Saccharomyces cerevisiae S288C: one gene and its partner. The gene in region 1 interacts genetically with each later gene. Each region holds a gene or a part of one and is shown in the gene's direction. Other genes may lie near its edges. The genes, in order: SFM1 and MLH2.

Region 1 (16,974 bases):
ACTTCATCGTCGGCATCAAGACCTATAATATGTGCCAGTTTCTCAGTCTGCAAAGAGGACGGTAAGTCGGAGCACATTGAGCCCGATCGACTGGCAGGTGGCGAGGGCGATACTGAAGTCATTTTTGAGAAAGATGGATCTAGTTGTATGTAAATTAATCCCTTCAGTTTTTACACCACTAACCACGTATTTGCCCTTGCTTGTGTTATATATAAGACGTACGCCAGATATAGTTCTCTGGCACGAATAACATTGCTTGCTTTTATTGACGTTTTACCCTTTGTGGTAACAGCAAACATAAACGTCGTTCGTGATGTTGAGTTACTTATTGTTACCCGCAATTGAGGGATACCCGCCACAGAAACACATGCAGTGCATTTGCCACTGTGCATAGCCGTAGGAAGAGGGAAAAACGAACAGGGAAGAAGCAGGAAGAGCAGACAGCAAGAACCCGTGCTAAGGAAGGTGATGAACTTTGGCCACTGAAGGCGCATTTTACCTCTGAAGGATCCCGTTTCCACATTTGTAAGCTAGTGTTCGTTCATATAAACACCCTGATCTTCGGCATTTCACTACTCTTCGGGCTCACGCTTCTCATCCAACACTTTGTGTATATGTCCATCTCCTCATGATGAGTCCCGCCCAAGATAAACTGCAGCACCAGCATCATAATCCTAATTCTTCCTCATCGTCATCCTCTAAGATGACGAACGTTTATCAGGTTACCACGCCAAAGTCTCCTCAGGATTTGGAAAACAACATGGATGAGCCCTTCAAAATGGACACCGCCACCAGTAATCCGGACAAGGATAGCGAAAATACCCAGCGGTTGAAGTACGAATGTGCCAAAGGGGAAATACAGAATGTTTTGAACCTACATATAATGCTAAACCACAAGCATGTTAGGCACTTACGAAGAAATGTTCAAAAGGTTAACGCAAAACTAGCTCTCTTGGAAACCCTGCATAAGGATACTGGTCTATTGAACAAAATCGAACGGACGTATCAACTCAAAATAAAACAACATCAGCAGCATAGCGTGCTCGGCGGCCACTTTCACGACAGTACGGCTACGGAAAATACGAACGCATCAAATTATAACCTGTCATACCCGGTTCTATCGGATTATAACATCAACTGTCAGCCTTTGTCTTCGAGCAGCAACAGAAATCTGTCAACAACACGCATACCACACCACCATTATCATACTAGAAGCAAGAGTAACGGGCTTTTGCTAGAACCTTCTGCCCTCCGTCCGGCAAATTCGAATATAATTGATTACAGGCTAACAGGTTCTAAATCTCTATCAGAAGCCATAACCAAGCCCACTCCCGTCTCGCTTCCTCACTCTAATTCGGATGGCATTTCTTCACCTCGTTCCTCCTCAATCTCCCCCTTAGACGAGCAGCCGGGGTTCCAGATACTCCCTTTTAAACCAAGTCAGATGCATCTTAACCACAGACGTAATTACAGTAGCACTTGTTTGACGAGCAATAGCGGTATCATCGGTAAGACTGAAAATAATGAGCCCATTTTTAGAAGATATGACGGCATTTTGGTTATAATTACGTGCTCCAAATGTGACCGTTCCGGTTTCACTTCCGCGCAAGGTATCGTGAACCATACTCGACTAAAACATTCTAAACTATATTCAAGCCAACCATTGGCAGTTTTAAACAACCAAAAACTACTTCCTAATGATAAGCAGGATCCGGAAATTTTATCTAAGTTCAAGAAACTAAATTTGGACCCAAACAAAGACTACCTACCCTCTGACATTGCAATCCCAAAACCACAATCACCAATCAACCACTCCGAGAACCATACGCGGGCTCCAAAGACTGTCAAGAACACTCCTCATTTAGAAAAACTATACCAAAATAAAGAAGACTTCAAAAAACTGATTGACATGGTTAATGAAACTCCGGATGATTTGAATGAATATTTGAAGCAACGTGAAATTCAATTAAGATATCAAAAGGAGCAAGAAGAGGAATCTTCCAAATCTGATGACGAAGCTTCTTACGTCCCATCACCGTCTCTCTCAGCAACGGCTACAACAACAACGACTACGGACCCACCCTCTCCGCCAGTGCTATCCTCCTCCTTACAAAGAAAATTGCTGCGTAAGAGAAAACTGAGCTTGAATAGCTCTACTCCCATGGAAGATTTACCTTTAAGAGAAAGGTTGAGAGCAAATCCCACTGACAAGAAACCAAGAAAAGCGGCCCTTTTGACTAATGAACTTGAGGGTCCTGATCCTGCAGCAAAATCATCATCTTATTACAATCTAAGGTCGAAATCAAGACTGCGTGGTTCTCATACATAGTACACACATATAAATAAGTAAATTACGTAATATAATATTCTGTTGGTTTTCTGACCTAATTTGTCGCTTTGGAAGAAAAAGTGGATTGTATTTTTTTGCATATTCCCTAATATTGAAGATCACTGAATATACTCACAGTGAACAATTACTTGAAATGCTACGGTTTACTCATCGAGGCCTTCCCTCCAGCACTCGTTTTAGAAACATTTTCGTAAGGTTAAATCACATTTATGTACCATGGTTCTATGCCATAGACGTACCCAACTCCAAACCCTATTTACCCACATATCAAACTTTACACTCACCCAAAAAGTTTAAGCCGTTCTCCGTTGATGATTCTAATCGTTTGGAAAAGGCCAGTAAGCGTCAAGAACGCAGGCCTGTTTTAGTCAACGAAGATTACCTGTTTAAAGTCGACCTCTCTCACATGGAATTGTCCCCTACCTATTGGGAAGGCCCTACTTATCAAGTACGAAGAGGTGTGTGGTTCGACTCTTCAAATCAACCTTTGTCCAGTGATCTTACCTCCGAAATTGAAGGGTTGTATAAGCAGCTCAAATTCGACGACAGTAATGATGATCCGACCACGACACCTCCTGCAGAATCGCAAGATATATTTAGGCTCAAAGGTAAATACCCAGTCGATAAAGAAAACGAAGGAGAGCAAAAAAATGGATCCAGCAATAAAGATGAGAACGAATCTACTTTCAAGTTTATTTTGTTTGCCAATAAACAAACTGCATTTTTACTATCGGATTTAGATGGAGGAAAACTGCAATTAGCCTTTCTAAGGTCTAATCTGGCTCAATCCTTACCGATTAATGCTACAATGATTACAAGATCATACAAATATTCATCCTCCGCAACTACTAAACAGACATCCACATCTTTTAAGGCAGCAAAAACGCCTCAAACGGAAGTAGCAGATGGTAGTAACAGTTCCAAATCGAGGAGCATTGAAACAAAGTTAGAAAAGAAAGTTTCAAACCTCTTCAATTTATCGGACTTTTTACAGTTGTTCAATGGTAATGCTAGTAAAGATCAAGATGATGCACAGAGCTTGGAAAAGCAAATGGAAACAGACTATAACAATGCAGATAACAGTCAAGGCGCTAATGCTAGTAGCAAAATAGAAGATGGCAAAAATTCGGGCGCAAGCGATAGACAAATTAGAAGTAACAGAAGAGATGTGGATAACTTGATACTATGCGTTCACGGTATAGGTCAGACTTTGGGTAAGAAGTACGAATACGTAAATTTCGCACACACGGTAAATCTACTTAGGTCTAATATGAAAAAAATCTACAATAATTCTGAGAAACTACAATCATTAAACACAGCACCTGATTATAAAAGCAACTGTAACGTTCAAGTGCTACCCATCACCTGGAGGCACTCGATAAGTTTCCAAACGGATGCTAAGGAGGAAAATATAGAAAATCCTGACCTACCGACTTTGTCACAAGTCACAGTAAATGGAGTGTTACCCTTGAGGAAGCTACTGGCTGACGGTCTACTAGATATTTTGTTGTATGTCGAACCATACTACCAAGATATGATTCTACAACAAGTAACCTCTCAATTGAACAAAACATATCGGATTTTTAAAGAATTTAATCCAGAGTTTGATGGGAAAGTCCATTTAGTGGGCCATTCGTTGGGTAGTATGATATTATTTGATATTCTATCCAAACAAAAAAAATATGAATTAGAATTTCAAGTAGACAACCTGTTCTTTATTGGCTCACCAATTGGATTGTTAAAGTTAATTCAAAGAACAAAAATTGGTGACCGTCCCGAATTTCCCAATGACTTGGAGAGAAAATTAACCGTACAGAGACCGCAATGTAAGGACATTTATAATGTTTACCACGTCTGTGATCCCATTTCTTATAGGATGGAACCTCTTGTTAGTAAAGAAATGGCTCATTACGAACAAACTTATTTACCACATTGTAGTGAAGCTTATGGACTAACTTCTAAAGTTTTGGAATTTGGCGAAAACATATGGAAAGATTTGCCAGGTACTGATGAAAATAATTTGCAGTCCAAAAAAACTTCTCCAGAAAAAAAAGAGGTCAAGTTATCAGAAAATCTTACGAGAATGCTTACAGGTTTGAATTACACCGGACGTCTAGATTATGCTATGTCTCCAAGTCTGCTAGAAGTGGATTTTATATCAGCTATAAAATCACATGTTTCTTATTTCGAAGAACCGGATATTGCAGCGTTTATCCTAAAAGAAATTTTAAGTAAACATGAAAATGCATCAGAAATATATGTAAAAAGAAAGACTGGTTGATCAGTAAACGCAAGGCACAAGTTTTTTTTAACTTTTTTCTTTACTGTCTATTATAGTTCCACTGTGTAAGGTTGTATTCTTTCCGTACTTCAACTTGCGGGTAACAGGATTGACACCTTTTCAATTTTTTCCGTTATTTTGGATTAGAAATTTTCGGTAAGCTCATCGAGTATTGTAAAAGAGCAATGCCCTTTGCTTATTAGATGTTGAGGGGCATATCTATTGTTAATATAGATTGATACAGCTGTGGAGATTATTTCTAGATATACGATGAAGTACATTATTGAGCATATGGAGGAAGGGTTTAGTGAATGGGTCATTTTAGAGTATAGCCAAATCCTGAGAGAAGTAGGAGCTGAAAACTTGATTTTATCATCGTTACCAGAGAGTACCACGGAAAAGGACATCCCTCAAAGGCTACTAAAACTTGGTTTAAGATGGACTACAAAGGATTTGAAGGGCATTAACGAAGATTTCAAGGATTTGGAACTGTTAAAAGATGGCAGAGTCTGTCTATTGGACCCTAGGGCTACAATCGATTTACAGCCGGAGGATGCTACGAAATTCGACTATTTCGTATTTGGTGGCATATTGGGTGATCATCCTCCAAGAGATCGTACCAAAGAACTAAAGACTGCCTATCCGAATCTTTTAATTAGCAGAAGACTAGGTGATAAACAAATGACTACGGATACTGCCATAAGAACAACACAGTTGATTATCAAAGACAGGATTGCATTTGAAGACATCAAGTTCATTGACTACCCTGAATTTAGGTTCAATAAAAATGAGGCCACGGAAATGCCATTTAGATACGTTTTAGATAAAGAAGGTAAACCTATTTTGCCTGAAGGGATGTTGGATTTGATCAAGAAGGATTCTGCTCAAAGTTTGGACGATCTGTTGATGTAGATGAGAACAGTCCTTTAAGTAACATTCTATGGTTGTAATAAGTGATGATGCTTCCTTGTCAAAGAGTTAGTTGAAAAGTTTAGGGTCGTAGCATTAATTATATTGTATATAGTTCAAAAACGACATTCAATGAAAAAATCAAGTTTATTAGCCAATGAATATTTCGTATTTTGCGTTAGTAGCGCTACCAAGACTTCTGAAAAGTGCATGCAAGAAAAATAAAAACAAGGAACCGTTTACTTTTATGATATCATCATTGTCAGGCCAAATAGGATAAAATTGATTGGTTGTATTATGCTTTTTAATTGAAAAAAAAAGTAGAAACTTTTATTATTTTATTTAAATTAATTTCTTTACATTACTTGCATCTAAAACCAAACGAGCTGGTGACTTCAAGCACTGCACTAGTTGCCATGGCTTTGCTAATTCAGACGACCCCCTTGAGGTGAAAAAATAGTCTCAGTAATGAAACAATCATAGGCAATTAGTTCGATTTTTTATAATTATCTTCCAGCCTTTCAAATATTGAAAGGCCATCAACTATCACTTACACCTGAGTGTTGTCATTGATCCGTAAAGTAAAAAGAGGCAAGTTTTGTGCATATTCGTATCATGCACAATGGCCTAAGGCAAGTATTTTCAGTGTTTTTTTTTTTTCATTGCCGTTTTGCTATTCAGAATATATTGAATTATATGTATAATGCATACTTAATAGAAAGAAGGACGCTAATTTTCGTTATAGAACAGTAGTTTCAAAAAGTGCTTCAAGTTTATAGAAATCAGTGCATCCCTTCACTGAACGATGAAGAACACCACCATTTCAGAAATTTTTATACATAATCAGTTGGCTTTCGTATCCTGCCTCGTATCTTTCTCTAAATCATTTAAAAATCCTTCAATACTCTTTACGACATCATCGTCCTTTCCCATAGCATCTGAGTTTGAACTTTCACCGCTTTTTTGTTGGCTCAAGGCAGAACTATTCTTGCCTTCATTTTTGGTTTTTGGTTTCGTGGTAAAGTAAGATGCCACTGCAGCAGTAGCGATAAACGTAGATATAGCCAATACGTGAGGTTGAACCGTCTTCCCAAATACTTTGTATGCAGCACCCATTGAGATAGCTATATTTATTTTTGTATATCTTATGTTTAGAAACAGTAGCGACCTTTCTTACTTGTTCCTTCAAAACTTGACTTAGATAACTATTTACCCTTAAACCGTTAGCTCTGTATTATGGACTGTGAAATTACACCTCGTTACCCGAAGTTCTATTATATTTTCAATCCATACTCCTATGATCTCTTCATTGGGAAAAAAAGGTCCACTTTCTCCTGGATTGCTCGAAGGCTTTCCGTAAAGAAAATACCTTTTATTTTTCTTTGCTTTCTTTCTCCATTAAATAGTAAACGCCTCTTTCTGAGGCAGCTGGCTAAAAAAATGTAACAAGGAATTTTATTTTATTACGGTTCAGCAAAGGCCGTAACGATAGTTGTATTATTTTCGTTCATATGTAGCAGCGATGGTAGCATTTTTTATTGTATAAATTGTGGCTTGCGTCGATTATCTTATTATGCCACTCATAATAAAAAGTTACTCTCAAAATGTCAATATTCAATAATGCATGTCTGTCTTTTTAATTTAGTACATACGTAGGATTAGGTATTGGAAGCAATCATAATGAGTTCTAAAGTTGTTATTTCTCACTTATTGCACCTCTCGAAGTTCTCTCATTAGCCGCCCAATTCTCATTCGTGTGAAGGTCATTAACGGGGTAATGCCCGTCATCAATGATAGAAATTTCTAGAATCTTGAAGGAATGGGAAAAAGAAGCTTGATTATGTATAAAATTAGTCAAAACGCTTATACAGTACAAACTTATTATGTGCTAGGTTTAAAATAATTTCTGATAGAAGCCATTGATCGAAAATATATTGAATCTACAGAAAAAAAAGAATGTCCACCCTTTTGAAGTCTGCTAAATCTATCGTTCCATTGATGGACCGTGTCCTTGTCCAAAGAATCAAGGCACAAGCAAAGACAGCATCCGGGTTGTATTTACCTGAAAAGAACGTGGAGAAGTTAAACCAAGCTGAAGTTGTTGCCGTAGGCCCGGGCTTTACTGATGCTAATGGTAATAAGGTTGTTCCTCAAGTTAAAGTTGGTGACCAAGTTTTGATTCCACAGTTTGGTGGTTCTACCATTAAATTGGGTAACGACGATGAAGTTATTCTTTTCAGGGACGCTGAAATCCTGGCTAAGATTGCCAAGGACTAAGAATGATGTCTTCTTCAACAGAGATTTTATATACATACTCTATATGTATGTACCTGTAAATAGGCCATTATGTATGACAGGAAAAAAAAATAATTGAACTCAAATTTCTTCTGCTATTCAGTTGCTGCCCCCAATTGTCTGCTAATAAAATTGATCTATTCATCAATAGGAATTTTAGGGACACTATGTGTACAAACTATCCGCTCATATTTTGCCGAATAAGAACAATGATTTCTTCTTTTTTTTCTTCTTCTTTTTCTTGTCGTTACGATCATCACTTTCAAAAACATCGCCACTGCTACTATTCCTTCTACTGGATGATTTATTTCCAGAGGAACTTCCACTTTTAAACACCTTAAAAATCCCAACTCCACCCCCAGTGAAGGTGTTCACAGTACTAAAACTAGACGAGCTTTTCTTTGACCCTGCACTACTTGAGGAGTCATTAGTTTTGACTTTTCTTAACGCACCGGCACTTTTAACTTTCCTCAAAGGAATGCTATTATCAACACTACTGCTTTTATCAGATGGATCAAAGGAATTTTCTTTGTCGAAGGAAATACTGTGCCTTATATCAGGCAGATTTCTGGCTTTGCCAAGGGCGGCTCTTCCATCTTTGTGTTTTACAGAGGTTGCAAACTTGATTTGGGACGTAGGCGAGCTACTGAGTTTAATAGTTGTTGTGGTATTTTGTTCCTCTGAGGAAGAATATGGTATTAAAGATTTTCTAAACTTTGTGTTTTTCGACCCATTGCCTATCAAAGCATTCTTAAAGCTGGAAATTTGGTCACCGTGACTGGACTGCGATACATTTTTACCAGGCAACGTCTCTATCGCTAAAGAAGACTTCAATGACTCTCTAATTATGATATCAATTTTCTTCAACAAAAGTTTTTCCTTAGTACATTCTCTATCTTTCTCATCGTCTTGTAATTTTTCTATATCACCCGTGATCTTCCTTCTTGAATGCTGGGCGAGACCGGTCAATTTTCTTGGAATGGAATCATTAGAGGTGTTGAACTGCTTTTTGATGTAGCCTTGCCTTTTGAAATCTTCGGCGTACGAATCTACGGAAATATGTGAAGAAATATCTGATATTGTATTTTTTTTGAACATTGAACTGCTCATGCTCTCAACGTCAGTGTGTTCGTGCTTCATATGATTTTTTGAGACATAATGTTCATTTACTTCTCTTTGTAGATTCAGTTCGAACGAATACATTCGTTTCGAGGGAACAACAAATGTGGGAATCGGATAACTAACAGGAAAGACATCTGTCAGCTTTTTGGATTTATATGTAATAAGATTCTCATTTCGCTCGTGCTTTAAAGTAGCAAGAACTAAGAAATCTGGAGTATGGACATTAATGACATCTACCAGACTTTTTTTAATTTTGCCTACAATTATTTCTAAAGTAATTTTGACGGATATTTTGACCACTTTTACTAGCTGTAAAATATAATCAAAAATGTCGTTTAATTTTTGATCTATTACTTCTTTTTGATATCCCGGTGCCCATTCTGTATCATCTTTTGCAGTTTTTTTCCTGTTAGAAATCATTTTTGGCAGTGTAGTTATGACAACAATGTGATCAAGATTTCGTGCAAACTTGTAGACTGTCCAGTCTAGGGCAACCCACGTATGTTTTTTTCCGTTAATGTGACAAACTATTGTCTTAGGGTTATTGGGATATCCGACCTTTTGTTGAAGTATTTTATGCTTTCTTTTTTGTTCTTTTGTACATGGTGCACTATCATCTCCTCTATATAACGGTTTAATACGCTCTTCAGAGAAGATAAGTTCTGGGTAAGTAAACCATTTTTTTTTGTCATTCAGCCTTTCATTTATTTGTAGTTTTCTTTGGCGCCATAACTTTATCCAGTTCTTTTCAAACCTGTTTATCATCAACGTTTCGTTGACAATTACTGGCGTGCTTGGATAGTCTCTCCTCACTATTTTTCCATTCTTGGATACCAAGAAATATTTTTTGATGTCAGAATTCTTTTCCAACAACTTTGAGGATCTCATTGGAAAACTACTGGATTCAGATTTGTTCTCTTTTCTAGTATTCAGAAAAGGTGATGATTGGAATGTATCTCTCAAATAATATTGCAAATTTGGCGAAAAAGAGTCTGTTTCATCGTCATAGCACTCTTCCATCGTGTAATAGTTGGGAACAGGTACACCTTTGAATCCTTCCCTGCTGTCGTCTATAGAAGAATAACCAGCGGTGGAAGGCACTGTGTCAAAGGCAACAGATGGTTGGAAACTGCCTTTCTTTTTGGCCCGTTTTTTAAGGTTTTGTTCATTTCTCTCTTCGAATTGTTGTCCTGGAACATCGAATGTGAGGCTTCTGTAGCATTTTTGCAAGTCATTTTGTGGGCAAACAGAAATCATAATAATTTAAGGTTGACTTGCCAAAAGGGTGCGTGATCTATAGCAAGTTGAATATTAAAAGCCTTTTTAATGAGGAGTCCTTATTTTAATACGTGTTGGATTCGATGTCCTTTCTTTCTGGTCCTATGCATTAGTGTGGATGGTAACGAGACATGAACCCAGAAGGATATATATGTATCTATCTGCAAATCATATTGCTACTAATAATGGTAGATTGCCATTCACAAAAAAGCCGCCCCTCATAAAACTCAGCCGCGCAAGCTTTGAAAAGGGGCGAGCGGCTGAAACAGAACGGTCTTCTAGAAGGCTGATTCAGCAGTAATTAAGACAAAAGCAGTACTACCAGCAAGAACATAGGAGGTGATTGAGTTATTAATTGAGGTACATCTGAATTGCAAGAACTCTAAATATTTTCTTTTGCGATGAAAAACTGATGCTTGTGTGATTAACATATAACGTAATTCATTGAGAGAAAAGAGCAGCTGTGCTCGAGATCAATGAGTTGACTATAAAAATAGCAATTTCCGTAGGATCGCAAAGTTGGCTAACCGTATAAAATGGGAGGATATATACGAATGATGTCTGTGGGATCTTTAACATTTAATTAGAAAATTTTGTAGTGCCAATAATTGTTGAGGAAGAAGTGCCAAGTAAAGAAAAACAGATCTTCTGAAGCTCATTGTATTCTCATTATATTCTCTCAAAAATACGTTCGTATAACTGATTAATCCTGTTTTTCTAATCACTATTTTAATGTTTCAATTGAGGGATTTTGCCTTCATACAATTGTTGAGAGAAATTTTCCAACAAGTATGGGAAATATGAGCAATTCTTATCTTTTAAAAACAAGAACTGGTCCGATATTATTCACCTCAAACATATTGGACGAGATCATTTTTAAAACGTTAGGGGTGGGGAGGATATCAATAAGTTTTCATAATTATGTTAACCTTCAAGCCATAAAACCGAGTAAGACCACTTAACAAAATCTATGAGAAGCCTTGCGGCAGAATCTGACAACTTCAGTGAAATTTTTTTGTGATTATAGAAGCATAAACTACAACGCCGAATTGTTTTACTTTATAGCAATTATGAGGTAGTATTATAACATTATATTATCATTTTTCAAGTGGTATGAGGTATGAAAGTACTCTATCAAAGTATATATGCTTAACTGTACAAACGTGTATGAAGTATTGCTCATATCTTTTTGTCGAAATTTCGAAGACAAAAAATAAAGCAGTCTATGAGCGATCCCGTTTTGTGAACATCTCCATTAAATTAGCAAATGAACCTGTTCCTTGTCTTAATGGTGAGTTGCTATTGTTGCTCCGAACTGACGATGAGCGTGACCTTCGATTGTGGGTTGCGCTCGTATAGTTTTCCTCTTCTCTTGGCTTATTAGCGTCAGATGTAGAATCAGTTTTATCAAAATGTGAATTGTTCTTGGAACTTGAATTACTAGTGAAAGATGTTGTCATATTAAACGGAAAATGTCTGCTTCCTGTGCTGCTTTTTGCTGAAGTGAAAGAGAGATTTAGATTAAATGAACTATCTGTGTTGTTTCTCGCCAACTGCTGCAATGATACTGAGGATCCGCTATTATTCCTTGGTAATGGAGAGTGGGATAAATGTGTCCTACTAGACGATCTTTTCAGATTATTGGAACTCTTGCTCGAGCCTGGAAGTGGCAACAAAGAGGATGTAGACTTGTGATGAAGAATTTGTGGCCTTTCTAGTTCAATTTTTTTATTTTCTTGAACTCCAAGTTCTTCCTCGGGATAAGCCGGTGGAAGATCCTCACCAATCATATCAGATTTCATTGCTTTATCATACGAGGGAACTCTGCTTAAATCTGTCAGTTCCAAATCGTTCTTCAGCGATGTAGAAGATGTTTGGCGACTATATGAGTTACGCCTAGATAAATGTGCAAAGCTTGGTGTCAGTGAAGGACTATTCAATCCAGCATTAATGATGTTATTATATCTATTTGCAGAAGGAGAGTTATTGTTCCAATTTTCACTAATTGTTAGATTACTATTAACCAGATTCAGGTTACTATTGTTAACGCTGTCCCCTCGAGAGTCACAATTATTTAGGCTATCATCTTCAATCTTGATTTGAGGATTTGGTGCCAAAATAGGATTATTGCTATTGTTACTATCCGATATATATAGGTTTTGAATATTGTGAATTGCCTGTGATTCGACGGCACTTGAAGAAGCTGATGCTGAAGTTTCGTCTTCATTAGTTACCTCGCCATACACTCGATCGTAAACGTGATTGCCGTAGTTGGGAGGTACCATCAAACTAGTTACCATAGTTGTGTCAGCGACTGCGGTAGCCTCTGCATCAGTACTATTGATATTTAAAGTAGAGCCAGATACTATGGTTGGCATTGAAGACAATTGTAACGCAGAAGCAGATCTTTGAAAAATCACATCTTCTTCACTATCGTCTACAAAGTTTTTGCTGCTGAATGAATTATCGTGCTGACTTGTTACTTGATATGAGGGTCCAAACGTTTTGAGCGTTCTTTCAATAACATCGGAGGTCTTTACATTGACTGGAACAAACGGTGAAATGAATAATTGGACAGGCAGTGCCGCACGCAATTCTGAAATATGACCGTCCGGATTGAGTAAACTTATAGTGAACTTGATCTTATGACGGACTTTGATATTAGATAAAATGCGACAGTCTTGGGAGCATTTAGTCAGGCTTGCAGGTATGTTTAATAAAGCTCGAACTTCCCATTTATCTTGAAATTCCCCTGTGTCCGTATCAACCCCTTCGTCGGCAGCTTCATTTAGGCTCCTCTTCTTCTTTATTTGGGCAACGTGCTTCAGGGGATCTTTTAGTTTTAATTTAGCCACCATTCTTTCTTGGTTGATAACCCCTCCATAGCTACCACAATACTGGGAATTTTCCACCAAACTGATCCTAACAGGGCCTAACTTCAATCCTTTTAATATAGGAACAATTAAAATATTGATCATGGTGGAAGAGCCAATGGCAATTGCCTTAGTTGGAATGGAGATCGTATAATCGACTTTTTCAGGCCATGAGTTATCCACTGATACTGTTTCAGATAACTCGACTGCATCTATAGCTAACGTTCGAATAACTCTTAGATGTTTTTTACAGATCAAGTCGGGCTGCTTAGGTCTCTCGATAGTAGCTTCCAGAGCATAAGTGACGGCAGCATTTGGTAGGCCTTCTACACTTTCCACTAATGACCCAGGAATAATCGCGCTGAAAGGGAATTCGTAGTTACCTTTTACTAAGGTGTGATAGTTTTTGCTTGCGCTTGTCTGCCCATTACTTGATATCAATGATGCAGTAGAAAGGGCTCTTTTTCTCTTTGGCAATGCTGCTAAATTTGTTGAGGATTTACTAGAAATTGTTATTTTACCATTATTATGATTATCGTACAAGTTTTGGAAATAACTTTTTATATTAAAATCATCCCAAAAATGAGAATATATGTTTCTCTCAAACTTTGAGTATCGCTTATGCGGCCCATGAACAGTTTGTAAAACCGTTGGAATATTTAGTCTCAACCTACCAAAAAGTCTCAAAGCCAAAGACTTGATTTGAATTGGCTCAGTAATTGACAATACTATAGTTCCAGATAGTAGGACAGAAGATGCCTCATCAGGGGGGCCTTTTATCAGTAAAACATCATTGTCCAAATTTCTAAGTCTGATGTCAAATAGTAATGGCTCTTTTGAAGGTCGAGATGATGATGAAAACATTATTACTTATGGAGGAAGAGAAGCGAATGGTGTGATGAAATCGCGTTGATTTCTGTATGGTTGTTAATTAGTTTTAGATCTGCATCTTTTTGACGTCTATATTTGAATAGGGGACCCCTGTTCTGTTTTTTTCGCTTAATAAAAAAACGCTGAAAATTGCAAGAGCCCAGCCATACAAAATAATTTATAAAAACTGTGAACAGGAAGCTTCTCAGTTTTTATCGGAGAACCCATCTCTGGGGTTAGACATTCATCCGCATTAAAACTCCTATTTTTACTCGTAGTTTTCGGTCTTCAAAATAAAGCAGATTCCTTAAAGTTAGATGCTTTTATTCAACTTAATCAGTAATGTAACATAATATGTACCAAGGGACTCGACTCTTTTTGACCCATTGTTTAATTAATATGTGTTATAATTACAAGAATAATGCATTGTATGGACATATCTAAAAATACATAGAATAATTACATAAGGTCGAAAGTTGTGAGTGAATACATTAAAGTAGTAAAACTTCACCTATAACATTAGATTGCCCAACGCTGACTACTGTCTTCTAGATATGGAACTTGTTACTCCTTTCTAATAGTTTTCTTCGAAGGGCACCTTTTTTAGCATATGCGCGCAGTTTAGTTTGCAGTCGGGTAGGGCCAAAATTAGAATATCTTTTGTTACTTCCATTATCGCGGTGATCATTGCGGGCTTGTAGTGATTTGATTCGATTCATAATTTCATCCTTTTTAGACATATCAGGTTCCTGACGTGTGATTACTTGATTTTTCAATGCGTTTAATTTAACATCCAAATATTTAAAGTATAGTTTTCGTAAAATTTGTTTGTCATTGATATCTGTAAAAGTAGAGTTCACCTCCCAAGTGGAAACATCGGAAGCGTGGAAAAAGTTTGGAGTCTGTGTAGATGGTATATCTTTGTACCAGTCTCGTTTCATCATGTCAGAAATATATTTACGGGATTCGGTGTCGAGAATATCGTTCTTTTTTAAAGCAAAATCAGGTAGATGTGTAGTATTAGGATGATGGTGATAGAAATGCTTGACATTTACTTTAAATCCAACTAAGGAATTCAGGTGTTCCTCCAAAAGATTTTCGTTATATGAGCGGAGGTTTAGTAGCTCCTCTGTTAATTGTTCGTTCGAAGTATCCTTTACCAATAAAGATTTATCCTCGTACTCAGGTGACAACGGCAGGGCTACAATATTTAGCACCGGTTCGTTAAAGAAGCGGCCACTTTTGGATCGTTTTTCTTCAACTTCGGTTTTAAGCATTATTTTGCATTTTTCCCATTTCGTATTACTTGAGTTAAGTAACTGCTCAACGTGTTTCAAAATATTACTGAACAGATTCATAGACATCTTAAATTCCCTATTAGCCACCAAGCAAGCAATTTTCCTATCGTCCCTGTCATAGTGTAGAATGTAGTCCTCCTCACCATATATCCCTTTTGTGATATCATTCTTCTCCTTTAACAAACTGTCGAATTTGCTGTTATACGAAGAATGGATTATATAATCTAATTCGTCCAAAGGTAGATATTGGAATCCAAACATCTTAGAAATATTGTGGTATGCAACGAAAATACCGTCCATTTTGCCAATTCTAGCTTGCAAAGAATACTTTAGAAGGGCAGACCTGATTAGTTCAAAATATTCTCTTTCCAAAGACTCAAATTCCCCATAAACTTTATCTATCTCATATCCAGTTTGGTTGTTATTACTCTCTACATGTGATAAATCGTATCTTATGGCAGAAACTGCTCTTGTCTTCAGATCAAATACACCCGTTCCAGGTAGATTTGGGTCGTACGCGTCCAATTGAGATCTCACAATGAATTCATCTATACTAGAATAGTGATAATTTTCACTTTTTGAACTATTCTTCAGGGACTTTTCCGTTAAAAAGTCTTCAAGATAATGACCTAGTACAGAAAGCACAATCTCCCTATCCAGACTTCTATCTGAATCAATAGAACAAATGCCATTTCTCTTCTTTCTCAGAATGACTGCTGACGGAAAATATGCACTTTCTGAATAATTGCAGTTTTTTTGAGGAAAATTTTTCGATATCGAGGAATCAATGATATTCAATCTTCTGAAATTGGATAATAAATAGTGCAACTGAGAAAGTACTGATGTCATGGAACTTGATGAAGATATGTACTTTTTTCTATGTTCTTTGGCAACCTTTAACAGAGATTCATCTTTGTGGGGTGTGATGAATATTGGCTTGCTTTGTCCTTCTCCAGAGGAGTCTGTGTTCACATCTTTTTCACTTTTCTTTTCCAAATACTCTGGATTAATATTTTCCACTGCAGGGTCAAAATTATACATTCTGCTCCTATTATCTCTCAATTTTTGTAGCGACAACGGTTGGTATAACACTCTCGTTAATCCATGACCAATCCTAGGAGGCTTTTGGTTGTGTTTTTGAACACCATCTTGATTGTAACGTACTAATGCGTGCCTAATCTTCTGGACATTTATCCGAAAAGTGTATGAATTGCTATCTGAATATGTTCTGCTAGCGGGATATGTTCTCCTAGCGGGATATGTTCTCCTACCAGGATATGTTCTTCTACCAGGATACGTTCCTACCTTTGTCCGCTCCAAATACTTATCATGTCTATACTCCTTCTTTATATTTGTTTTCAGTAGATTAATCGCCTTGTCCATTTCTTCCGTATATTTTTGTCGACCTCCCTTTTCCTTGTTTCCAATGTCCTCTACAGTCGAATTTGTGTCATATATTTCATCGACCATCTCTAAAGCACTATGCAGGTCAGAACGTAGCTTGTCTGGTGTTTCTCTTCCACTAGGGGCATTTGTGAGAGCAGCGCCAAAGTGATAAATCGATCGCTGTTGATAGCTTTTAGCGGCGCTACCTATTCTGCAAGGCTCAACAGATAGACGTCTGGACAGGAATCTACAGTTGTAGAACCCCATTATCAAAACTATAAAAGTATCAGGTAGCGTTTGGCTCTTTTTTGT
Region 2 (11,345 bases), on another chromosome or scaffold:
TCAACAATTTATCTGTTCGTCCGTCGCTTATTAAAAAACGGCATATAAATAGAGCAGCTTTGATTAACTCTTTCCGACAATTTGGCATTGTTATTTACATTCGAGTGAGCTCACATCTTCACTAAAAAGATCTACAAAAGTTCAATCGAAAAAAATGGTCAAACTAACTTCAATTGTTGCTGGTGTCGCTGCTATTGCTGCTGGTGTCGCTGCTGCCCCAGCCACCACTACTTTATCTCCCTCTGACGAAAGAGTTAACCTGGTCGAATTAGGTGTCTACGTCTCAGATATCAGAGCTCATTTGGCTGAATACTATATGTTCCAAGCTGCTCATCCAACTGAAACTTACCCAGTTGAAATTGCTGAAGCTGTTTTCAACTACGGTGATTTCACCACTATGTTGACTGGTATTCCCGCTGATCAAGTCACTAGAGTCATCACTGGTGTCCCATGGTACTCCACCAGATTGAGACCAGCTATCTCCAGCGCTCTATCCAAGGACGGTATCTACACTGCTGTTCCAAACTAAGCCGATGGCCTCACAATTGGTATTTAGCACTGGATTGCTTTACGAACGGATAAAAATAATTATGATTTGACGGTAAGAAATAATTAGATATACATACGTATACAAACATATATATGTATTACAGGTACTTTTAATCAGTTGCACTGTGTTCAAAAAGATATTTTTTAAATGCGGGGGGAGATTCAAGTTTTGTTCTCGCATTTAAATTTCTGCATACAATTTGTACTTACAAGAACCTTATACGATTCCAGTTGAGACACGTACTGATATATTAATGATCATATTAAGAATCTTAATGCTTAAAACTTCTCTTCAATTCAGCATTTGATCTGTGGCAAGTTAATCTTGTTCCATTTAACGTGGATTTGACTTGCCATGATCTTCCCATAAAGCGGTAAATAGCCTTTTTGGTAAAAAATTGAAAGTTTAAAAGTACGGAACAAACTTTCGAGTTTTTCCTCAAAGGCCCTTCACAACACACGAGAACTAAAAGGTAGTTAAGACAGGAACTTGCCGTTAAAGTTTACTTTCTCCTTCAAAGTATAGGAAATAATGAAAGAGGCAGAACTTAGTGCGACAGAAAGCCAAGATGAGATCCCAAAGTCTAATTCCTTATTAATTATAGAAAAATTAACAAAGGCCGTTTGTAGCCTTTATTTTATAAATTGTTTTATGGTGCCATCAGTAGATAATTTGATTGAAAAGTACCCAAAAGCAATCATCATTAAGATCATAGATATGATTCTGGGGGCGGTAACAATTTCCCTCGTTATTATAGTTTTCTTTTTATATCGAAAGAACGGTCATTTTAAAAATGAAAATAAAACAAAGCCAAAGAGATGTTCGAAGGTAGTATGTCCCAGCTGTGCTGCCAGAAAAAAGTATCCTAAATGGTTTCAGCTAAAGTATTTGTTATTGGTATCAATGACTGCTTTCAGCTTCTACTTTTGTACCAAAATTAGGTTTTTTTTTAAAACTGACCAAACTATTAATTTACACCGACTATCACAGCTATTTAGATTGCAGCTAGGCTGGATATGTACTACTGCATTATTATTCTATTTTTACGATGCGTTGATATTACATAGCGGGTTCATTGAAGGGTATAGATGTGTCAATGGAAAGGGAGCGATGTCTGAAGGTAAAACCGGGCAATTAAATTGAGGATTTTACCTAATATGTATTATTTTGGAATTAGCTTGAAATGTGAAGGTATCATTTTACTGTTGCATATTGGATAATTGGTAAAGTTACGCAAAGTATTCAATATCATCTTCTTGCATTACTCGACCATTGAGAATAATTTACTATATAGTTTGAATACGAGATTACACCTCGACAAAAGTAGTTCTATTATTTGCACGTAACAATTATCAGAAAATGGGTGAACTTCGTATTAATTGTTGGGATTTCGTTGTTGATATTAGGTATACAAAATATACTAGAAGTTCTCCTCAACAGTCTTGGAATTCACGAAAGGGAGTTGATAGTTCTGATAATAAAATCACTTTGTCTTCCTTTCTTTTATACTTTGTCATTCATTATTCTACTACATTATCAATTTGTTAGAATGAAACTCTAAAACATCATCTGTTTAGTAGTATTTGCGTTACTAGTCAATTATGATCGTTGACTCTTATTCTAACAGCTAGTAATATTACCCCCGTTACGTATGAAAGTGTTGGAATAAAAATCCACTATCGTCTATCAACTAATAGTTATATTATCAATATATTATCATATACGGTGTTAAGATGATGACATAAGTTATGAGAAGCTGTCATCGATGTTAGAGGAAGCTGAAACGCAAGGATTGATAATGTAATAGGATCAATGAATATAAACATATAAAACGGAATGAGGAATAATCGTAATATTAGTATGTAGAAATATAGATTCCATTTTGAGGATTCCTATATCCTCGAGGAGAACTTCTAGTATATTCTGTATACCTAATATTATAGCCTCTATCAACAATGGAATCCCAACAATTATCTAATTACCCACATATATCTCATGGTAGCGCCTGTGCTTCGGTTACTTCTAAGGAAGTCCACACAAATCAAGATCCGTTAGACGTTTCAGCTTCCAAAATTCAAGAATATGATAAGGCTTCCACTAAGGCTAACTCTCAACAGACAACAACACCTGCTTCATCAGCTGTTCCAGAGAACCCCCATCATGCCTCTCCTCAACCTGCTTCAGTACCACCTCCACAGAATGGGCCGTACCCACAGCAGTGCATGATGACCCAAAACCAAGCCAATCCATCTGGTTGGTCATTTTACGGACACCCATCTATGATTCCGTATACACCTTATCAAATGTCGCCTATGTACTTTCCACCTGGGCCACAATCACAGTTTCCGCAGTATCCATCATCAGTTGGAACGCCTCTGAGCACTCCATCACCTGAGTCAGGTAATACATTTACTGATTCATCCTCAGCGGACTCTGATATGACATCCACTAAAAAATATGTCAGACCACCACCAATGTTAACCTCACCTAATGATTTTCCAAATTGGGTTAAAACATACATCAAATTTTTACAAAACTCGAATCTCGGTGGTATTATTCCGACAGTAAACGGAAAACCCGTACGTCAGATCACTGATGATGAACTCACCTTCTTGTATAACACTTTTCAAATATTTGCTCCCTCTCAATTCCTACCTACCTGGGTCAAAGACATCCTATCCGTTGATTATACGGATATCATGAAAATTCTTTCCAAAAGTATTGAAAAAATGCAATCTGATACCCAAGAGGCAAACGACATTGTGACCCTGGCAAATTTGCAATATAATGGCAGTACACCTGCAGATGCATTTGAAACAAAAGTCACAAACATTATCGACAGACTGAACAATAATGGCATTCATATCAATAACAAGGTCGCATGCCAATTAATTATGAGAGGTCTATCTGGCGAATATAAATTTTTACGCTACACACGTCATCGACATCTAAATATGACAGTCGCTGAACTGTTCTTAGATATCCATGCTATTTATGAAGAACAACAGGGATCGAGAAACAGCAAACCTAATTACAGGAGAAATCCGAGTGATGAGAAGAATGATTCTCGCAGCTATACGAATACAACCAAACCCAAAGTTATAGCTCGGAATCCTCAAAAAACAAATAATTCGAAATCGAAAACAGCCAGGGCTCACAATGTATCCACATCTAATAACTCTCCCAGCACGGACAACGATTCCATCAGTAAATCAACTACTGAACCGATTCAATTGAACAATAAGCACGACCTTCATCTTAGGCCAGAAACTTACTGAATCTACAGTAAATCATACTAATCATTCTGATGATGAACTCCCTGGACACCTCCTTCTCGATTCAGGAGCATCACGAACCCTTATAAGATCTGCTCATCACATACACTCAGCATCATCTAATCCTGACATAAACGTAGTTGATGCTCAAAAAAGAAATATACCAATTAACGCTATTGGTGACCTACAATTTCACTTCCAGGACAACACCAAAACATCAATAAAGGTATTGCACACTCCTAACATAGCCTATGACTTACTCAGTTTGAATGAATTGGCTGCAGTAGATATCACAGCATGCTTTACCAAAAACGTCTTAGAACGGTCTGACGGCACTGTACTTGCACCTATCGTAAAATATGGAGACTTTTACTGGGTATCTAAAAAGTACTTGCTTCCATCAAATATCTCCGTACCCACCATCAATAATGTCCATACAAGTGAAAGTACACGCAAATATCCTTATCCTTTCATTCATCGAATGCTTGCGCATGCCAATGCACAGACAATTCGATACTCACTTAAAAATAACACCATCACGTATTTTAACGAATCAGATGTCGACTGGTCTAGTGCTATTGACTATCAATGTCCTGATTGTTTAATCGGCAAAAGCACCAAACACAGACATATCAAAGGTTCACGACTAAAATACCAAAATTCATACGAACCCTTTCAATACCTACATACTGACATATTTGGTCCAGTTCACAACCTACCAAAAAGTGCACCATCCTATTTCATCTCATTTACTGATGAGACAACAAAATTCCGTTGGGTTTATCCATTACACGACCGTCGCGAGGACTCTATCCTCGATGTTTTTACTACGATACTAGCTTTTATTAAAAACCAGTTTCAGGCCAGTGTCTTGGTTATACAAATGGACCGTGGTTCTGAGTATACTAACAGAACTCTCCATAAATTCCTTGAAAAAAATGGTATAACTCCATGCTATACAACCACAGCGGATTCCCGAGCACATGGAGTCGCTGAACGGCTCAACCGTACCTTATTAGATGACTGCCGTACTCAACTGCAATGTAGTGGTTTACCGAACCATTTATGGTTCTCTGCAATCGAATTTTCTACTATTGTGAGAAATTCACTAGCTTCACCTAAAAGCAAAAAATCTGCAAGACAACATGCTGGCTTGGCAGGACTTGATATCAGTACTTTGTTACCTTTCGGTCAACCTGTTATCGTCAATGATCACAACCCTAACTCCAAAATACATCCTCGTGGCATCCCAGGCTACGCTCTACATCCGTCTCGAAACTCTTATGGATATATCATCTATCTTCCATCCTTAAAGAAGACAGTAGATACAACTAACTATGTTATTCTTCAGGGCAAGGAATCCAGATTAGATCAATTCAATTACGACGCACTCACTTTCGATGAAGACTTAAACCGTTTAACTGCTTCATATCAATCGTTCATTGCGTCAAATGAGATCCAACAATCCGATGATCTTAACATAGAATCTGACCATGACTTCCAATCTGACATCGAACTACATCCTGAGCAACCGAGAAATGTCCTTTCAAAAGCTGTGAGTCCAACCGATTCCACACCTCCGTCAACTCATACTGAAGATTCGAAACGTGTTTCCAAAACCAATATTCGCGCACCCAGAGAAGTTGACCCCAACATATCTGAATCTAATATTCTTCCATCTAAGAAGAGATCTAGCACCCCCCAAATTTCCGATATCGAGAGTACCGGTTCGGGTGGTATGCATAGATTAGATGTTCCTTTACTTGCTCCCATGTCCCAATCTAACACACATGAGTCGTCGCACGCCAGTAAATCTAAAGATTTCAGACACTCAGACTCGTACAGTGACAATGAGACTAATCATACAAACGTACCAATATCCAGTACGGGTGGTACCAATAATAAAACTGTTCCGCAGACAAGCGAACAGGAGACTGAGAAAAGGATCATACACCGTTCACCTTCGATCGATACTTCCTCATCAGAAAGTAATTCACTACACCACGTCGTTCCTATCAAAACGTCAGATACCTGTCCTAAGGAGAATACAGAGGAATCTATTATCGCTGATCTTCCACTCCCCGATCTGCCTCCAGAACCTCCTACCGAATTATCAGACTCCTTTAAAGAACTCCCACCGATAAATTCTCATCAAACTAATTCCAGTTTGGGTGGTATTGGTGACTCTAATGCCTATACTACTATCAACAGTAAGAAAAGATCATTAGAAGATAATGAAACTGAAATTAAGGTATCACGAGACACATGGAATACTAAGAATATGCGTAGTTTAGAACCTCCGAGATCGAAGAAACGAATTCACCTGATTGCAGCTGTAAAAGCAGTAAAATCAATCAAACCAATACGAACTACCTTACGATACGATGAGGCAATCACCTATAATAAAGATATTAAAGAAAAAGAAAAATATATCCAGGCATACCACAAAGAAGTCAATCAACTGTTGAAGATGAAAACTTGGGACACTGACAGATATTATGACAGAAAAGAAATAGACCCCAAAAGAGTAATAAATTCAATGTTTATCTTTAACAGGAAACGTGGCGGTACTCATAAAGCTAGATTTGTTGCAAGAGGTGATATTCAACATCCTGACACTTACGACCCAGGCATGCAATCCAATACCGTACATCACTATGCATTAATGACATCCCTGTCACTTGCATCAGACAATAACTACTATATTACACAATTAGACATATCTTCGGCATATTTGTATGCAGACATCAAAGAAGAACTATACATAAGACCTCCACCACATTTAGGAATGAATGATAAGTTAATACGTTTGAAGAAATCACTTTATGGATTGAAACAAAGTGGAGCGAACTGGTACGAAACTATCAAATCATACCTGATAAAACAGTGTGGTATGGAAGAAGTTCGTGGATGGTCATGCGTATTTAAGAATAGTCAAGTAACAATTTGCTTATTCGTTGATGATATGATATTGTTCAGCAAAGACTTAAATGCAAATAAGAAAATCATAACAACACTCAAGAAACAATACGATACAAAGATAATAAATCTGGGTGAAAGTGATAACGAAATTCAGTACGACATACTTGGCTTAGAAATCAAATATCAAAGAGGTAAATACATGAAATTAGGTATGGAAAACTCATTAACTGAAAAAATACCCAAACTAAACGTACCTTTGAACCCAAAAGGAAGGAAACTTAGCGCTCCAGGTCAACCAGGTCTATATATAGACCAGCAAGAACTAGAGCTAGAAGAAGATGATTACAAAATGAAGGTACATGAAATGCAAAAGCTGATAGGTCTAGCATCATATGTTGGATATAAATTTAGATTTGACCTATTATACTACATCAACACACTTGCACAACATATACTATTTCCGTCCAAGCAAGTGTTAGATATGACATATGAATTGATACAGTTCATATGGAATACGAGAGATAAGCAATTAATATGGCACAAAAGCAAACCTGTTAAGCCAACAAATAAATTAGTTGTTATAAGCGATGCATCGTATGGTAACCAACCGTATTATAAATCACAAATTGGCAACATATATTTACTTAATGGAAAAGTAATTGGAGGAAAGTCCACCAAGGCTTCATTAACATGTACTTCAACTACGGAAGCAGAAATACACGCGATAAGTGAATCTGTCCCATTATTAAATAACCTCAGTCACCTTGTGCAAGAACTTAACAAGAAACCAATTACTAAAGGATTACTAACCGACAGTAAATCTACAATCAGTATAATTATATCCAATAATGAAGAGAAATTTAGAAACAGATTTTTTGGTACTAAAGCAATGAGACTAAGAGATGAAGTATCAGGAAATCATCTGCACGTATGCTATATCGAAACCAAAAAGAATATTGCAGACGTAATGACCAAACCTCTTCCGATAAAAACATTCAAACTATTAACAAACAAATGGATTCATTAGATCTATTACATTATGGGTGGTATGTTGGAATAAAAATCCACTATCGTCTATCAACTAATAGTTATATTATCAATATATTATCATATACGGTGTTAAGATGATGACATAAGTTATGAGAAGCTGTCATCGATGTTAGAGGAAGCTGAAACGCAAGGATTGATAATGTAATAGGATCAATGAATATAAACATATAAAACGGAATGAGGAATAATCGTAATATTAGTATGTAGAAATATAGATTCCATTTTGAGGATTCCTATATCCTCGAGGAGAACTTCTAGTATATTCTGTATACCTAATATTATAGCCTTTATCAACAATGGAATCCCAACAATTATCTAATTACCCACATATATCTCAGAAAGTAACATGCGTGCTTTCTATGAGGTTGAAGAATAACACTCATCTTAGCCACAGTGGAGGGTTTACCTATGAAAACAGTACTAAGTAGTCAAATAATTTCCTCTCCTTTGTACGCGTTTTAGGGCACATGGCGCAGTTGGTAGCGCGCTTCCCTTGCAAGGAAGAGGTCATCGGTTCGATTCCGGTTGCGTCCATTTATTTTTTACTTTTATTCTCCTTTATTTTTAACAATTTCTAGAATAACTCGACTCGATTCCAAGAAAACCCCTTAAGCAGAGCTATATATCCTTATATTTATTCGTAACACTGCAATGTGAACATATAGTACAGCAGAAAAGATTACCTTCTGCATTATCTATAAGTTTTGCGCATAACAAACCTTTCACTTGTCACCTAATTTGGGTTTAAGTAGTGCTCGCTATATTGCCCTGGCACAATGCTTTTTTGCTTTTACTGTAGTCTTTGCTATTTAAATAATCTCACTGTCGTCCATATCCCTCATATACATGGCCCTTTTTTGGCGCCCATACAAGAAAAAGTAATCACTTTTATAAACATATAAAGTTATTTCACATCCCATCATCTCGGTTTGAGGAACAGACGCCTTTTCATAGTTTTGGATGACTATACATCAGTTATCTCCAGAATCCCAATGGAAGATTGTTTCTAGTTCCTTTATTTACGGTCCGGTAGCTGCTGTAAGGGAATTATTAGATAATAGCATCGATTCGGGTGCTAAAAAAGTATTCATCGATGTAGATTCCACTACGGGAGGATGTGAATATATATCAGTCAAGGACGATGGATCAGGTGTGGATATTATCGACAGACCTTCTATGTGCTTGGAATACACCACATCAAAGATGAGTAGTCTCGGAGATATTTCGATTCTGACTACTCTTGGATTCAGAGGTGAAGCATTGTTTCTTTTGTCAAACTTGTGTAACCAGAAAGGCTCAATGCAGGTTGAAACAAAAACTGCAGATGATGTCATTGGAGAAAAATGGTTAGTTGATAGTAAGGGTGGTATTACCAATGGAAAAAGGTACAAGGTATCTTGTCCCGTGGGGACTACAGTAATATTAAGGAAACTTCTGGGAGGGTTACGAGCAAGGTATCTCGAAATTTCTTCGAGGCCAAGAAAAACATTCGATGAACTAATCTATTTAATAAACCATTATTCTCTAATTCATAGAAATATTCGGTTTTATTTTTCGTTGGTGTCATTACAAAAAAATGGTGCCATAGAGCGTAAACAAATGCAAGAAACGTTAGACCCTAAGATTTCTAGAGCTAGAAGTTTGTCCCTACTAGCTAGACTAAAAAAGCCTGTGCCGCTGAACTTTATTGTAGAAGAAAACTTTGTTATCGACGAAAAAATAAATTTAGATTTGATCTTACCGAGGATGGTGCCAGAATCTGACGTTATTAATATAAAGAGACGATTTAAATTTTTATCTGTTAATGAGAGAGCGCTATCTTTGAACTTGGAGACGGGGAAGACTATTTCTAAGTTACTATCGTCAATCTATAGAGATTTCTCTTTACTAGATCCTATGGTTTGGTTTATTAATTTAAATTGCGATACAAAGCTTCTTGACGTAAATATCGAACCAGAGAAAAATGACGTGATGATCAAAAGTTTTGAAGTGATATTTAAGAAGATAGAGAATAAGTTAAAGTTGTTATTGGAGGAGAGAATTGGCATCGAAACAAATATGCTGGGAGATAAACATGTTCAGCCTTCTATCAACGAAAAAACTTCTCCCGCACTGGTGATACCTACACCCGACGCAGAGAATGAAATATCAAAGGGCTGTGGTGCTGTTAGTGGTAAAGACAAGACTGACATCCCACAAAAAAACTCAGATTTGATAGTACCAACTTTTTACGATGAAGCAAACTTAGAGAATACGACCATTGTCGCTGCTACTCCTTCACCTACAAAATTTAGCGAGGATAAAGCTCTTGACGAACAAACTCAGCTGACCATTTCAAGTTATAGAAGCTCGAGTTCCGGGTCTATGGCTTCCGAGGACAGTACTAATTGGCGACATAATTTCCAACAAGAACTAAGCGAAAATAGTGAAGTAGCAGGAGCTGGATCCTCAACATTACCCTCGTCATTAACTTATAACTATATAGAAACTATTCCAGAGAACGAGGATTTAGAACTTTCTAAGGACGCTTCTATTTCTAATCCTTTTATGATCACAAAAATAAGAAACGTCAACAAGAAACTGAGCGAAAACTTACTTGAGGCCAAACGTACTAGCTGTGGAGATGCCAATAAAAGGGGAATGCCCAACGAAAGACAGCTTTCAAATACAGAAAAAAAGGAACTAATAAAGCTTCAGCAAACCTACGGTAAAAGAAACAATACCGTGGACATGACCATTCCACGAAATTCGAAAAAAAAAGTAACTGATAATTATATAAAGAAAGCATCCTGCATGCACAAAACAAGGCCGAAACTCATGCATTTTTCCGAGTATACCAACAACTACGTCTATACCCTGAAGAATGAAAAAATTGTTAAGCATGACAGCGATAACTTTGCCAAAGAAACTCTGTGGTTACGATCGAGGGACGATGCCACAAGCCCTTCTTCCAGTCTTTTGCAAGCCTTGCGAGCGCATGTGAAGAAACCGGGACACATTGAAGCCACGACAAATGAATGGTGCCTCTTCACGCCAGACAGCCCCTGATGATCGGGTGCACTATCACCACTCAGCACAATAGATTACTTCATAATAGACCATTGTTTGTAACTCATGGTAACCGCACCCTGTTGCCCGCCCTGCCTCTCTTCCAGTTTCCGCACCTTGAAATTTCCGTTTTGGGTCAACTTAAAAATGCTCTAATATTGCATTGTTACGACATCCTGTTGTCATGCGACTAAAGGTATTTATACTGTATATATCTCATTCATCTGATTCTGTGAGGTTGCATAATTGAATATTTATTTCAAAGGAGCTAGAAGACAAAGATCACTCCACATAAATATACGGGGTTCCTTTATATATTAGTTCATTTTTTTTTTCAGTTGTCATACCCAAACTATTATTTCCTTCTGAACTCCTTTAAATATATCGTTCTTCCAAGCTAATTGATAACAGTAGTAGCATCACAAGAGAAAAAAAATGCGATCTTATATGCAGATTCTTCAAAAATTTGCCAAATTTATTGGGCCAGGGATATTAGTCAG

What was found.
Region 2: mutations in SFM1 (region 1) and MLH2 together harm fitness more than expected from each alone (negative genetic interaction), as found in Saccharomyces cerevisiae (one large-scale study listed by BioGRID).

The regions. Positions count from the first base shown.
Region 1 is NC_001147.6:361,367-378,340, reverse strand, and holds SFM1 (protein-arginine N-methyltransferase SFM1), read left to right. Parts: upstream 1-4,901; coding exon 4,902-5,543; downstream 5,544-16,974. Other genes in the region: NAD-dependent histone deacetylase HST3, read right to left, coding at 1-122; AHC1 (Ahc1p), read left to right, coding at 629-2,329; DDL1 (putative carboxylic ester hydrolase), read left to right, coding at 2,484-4,631; MCO10 (Mco10p), read right to left, coding at 6,384-6,656; HSP10 (Hsp10p), read left to right, coding at 7,497-7,817; YOR019W (uncharacterized protein), read right to left, coding at 8,022-10,214; ROD1 (Rod1p), read right to left, coding at 11,459-13,972; PET127 (Pet127p), read right to left, coding at 14,527-16,929. UniProt on the Saccharomyces cerevisiae protein: S-adenosyl-L-methionine-dependent protein-arginine N-methyltransferase that monomethylates ribosomal protein S3 (RPS3) at 'Arg-146'.
Region 2 is NC_001144.5:211,869-223,213, reverse strand, and holds MLH2 (mismatch repair protein MLH2), read left to right. Parts: upstream 1-8,757; coding exon 8,758-10,845; downstream 10,846-11,345. Other genes in the region: seripauperin PAU23, read left to right, coding at 155-529; YLR036C (uncharacterized protein), read left to right, coding at 1,082-1,693; YLR035C-A (gag-pol fusion protein), read left to right, coding at 4,307-7,774; putative divalent metal ion transporter SMF3, read left to right, coding at 11,281-11,345.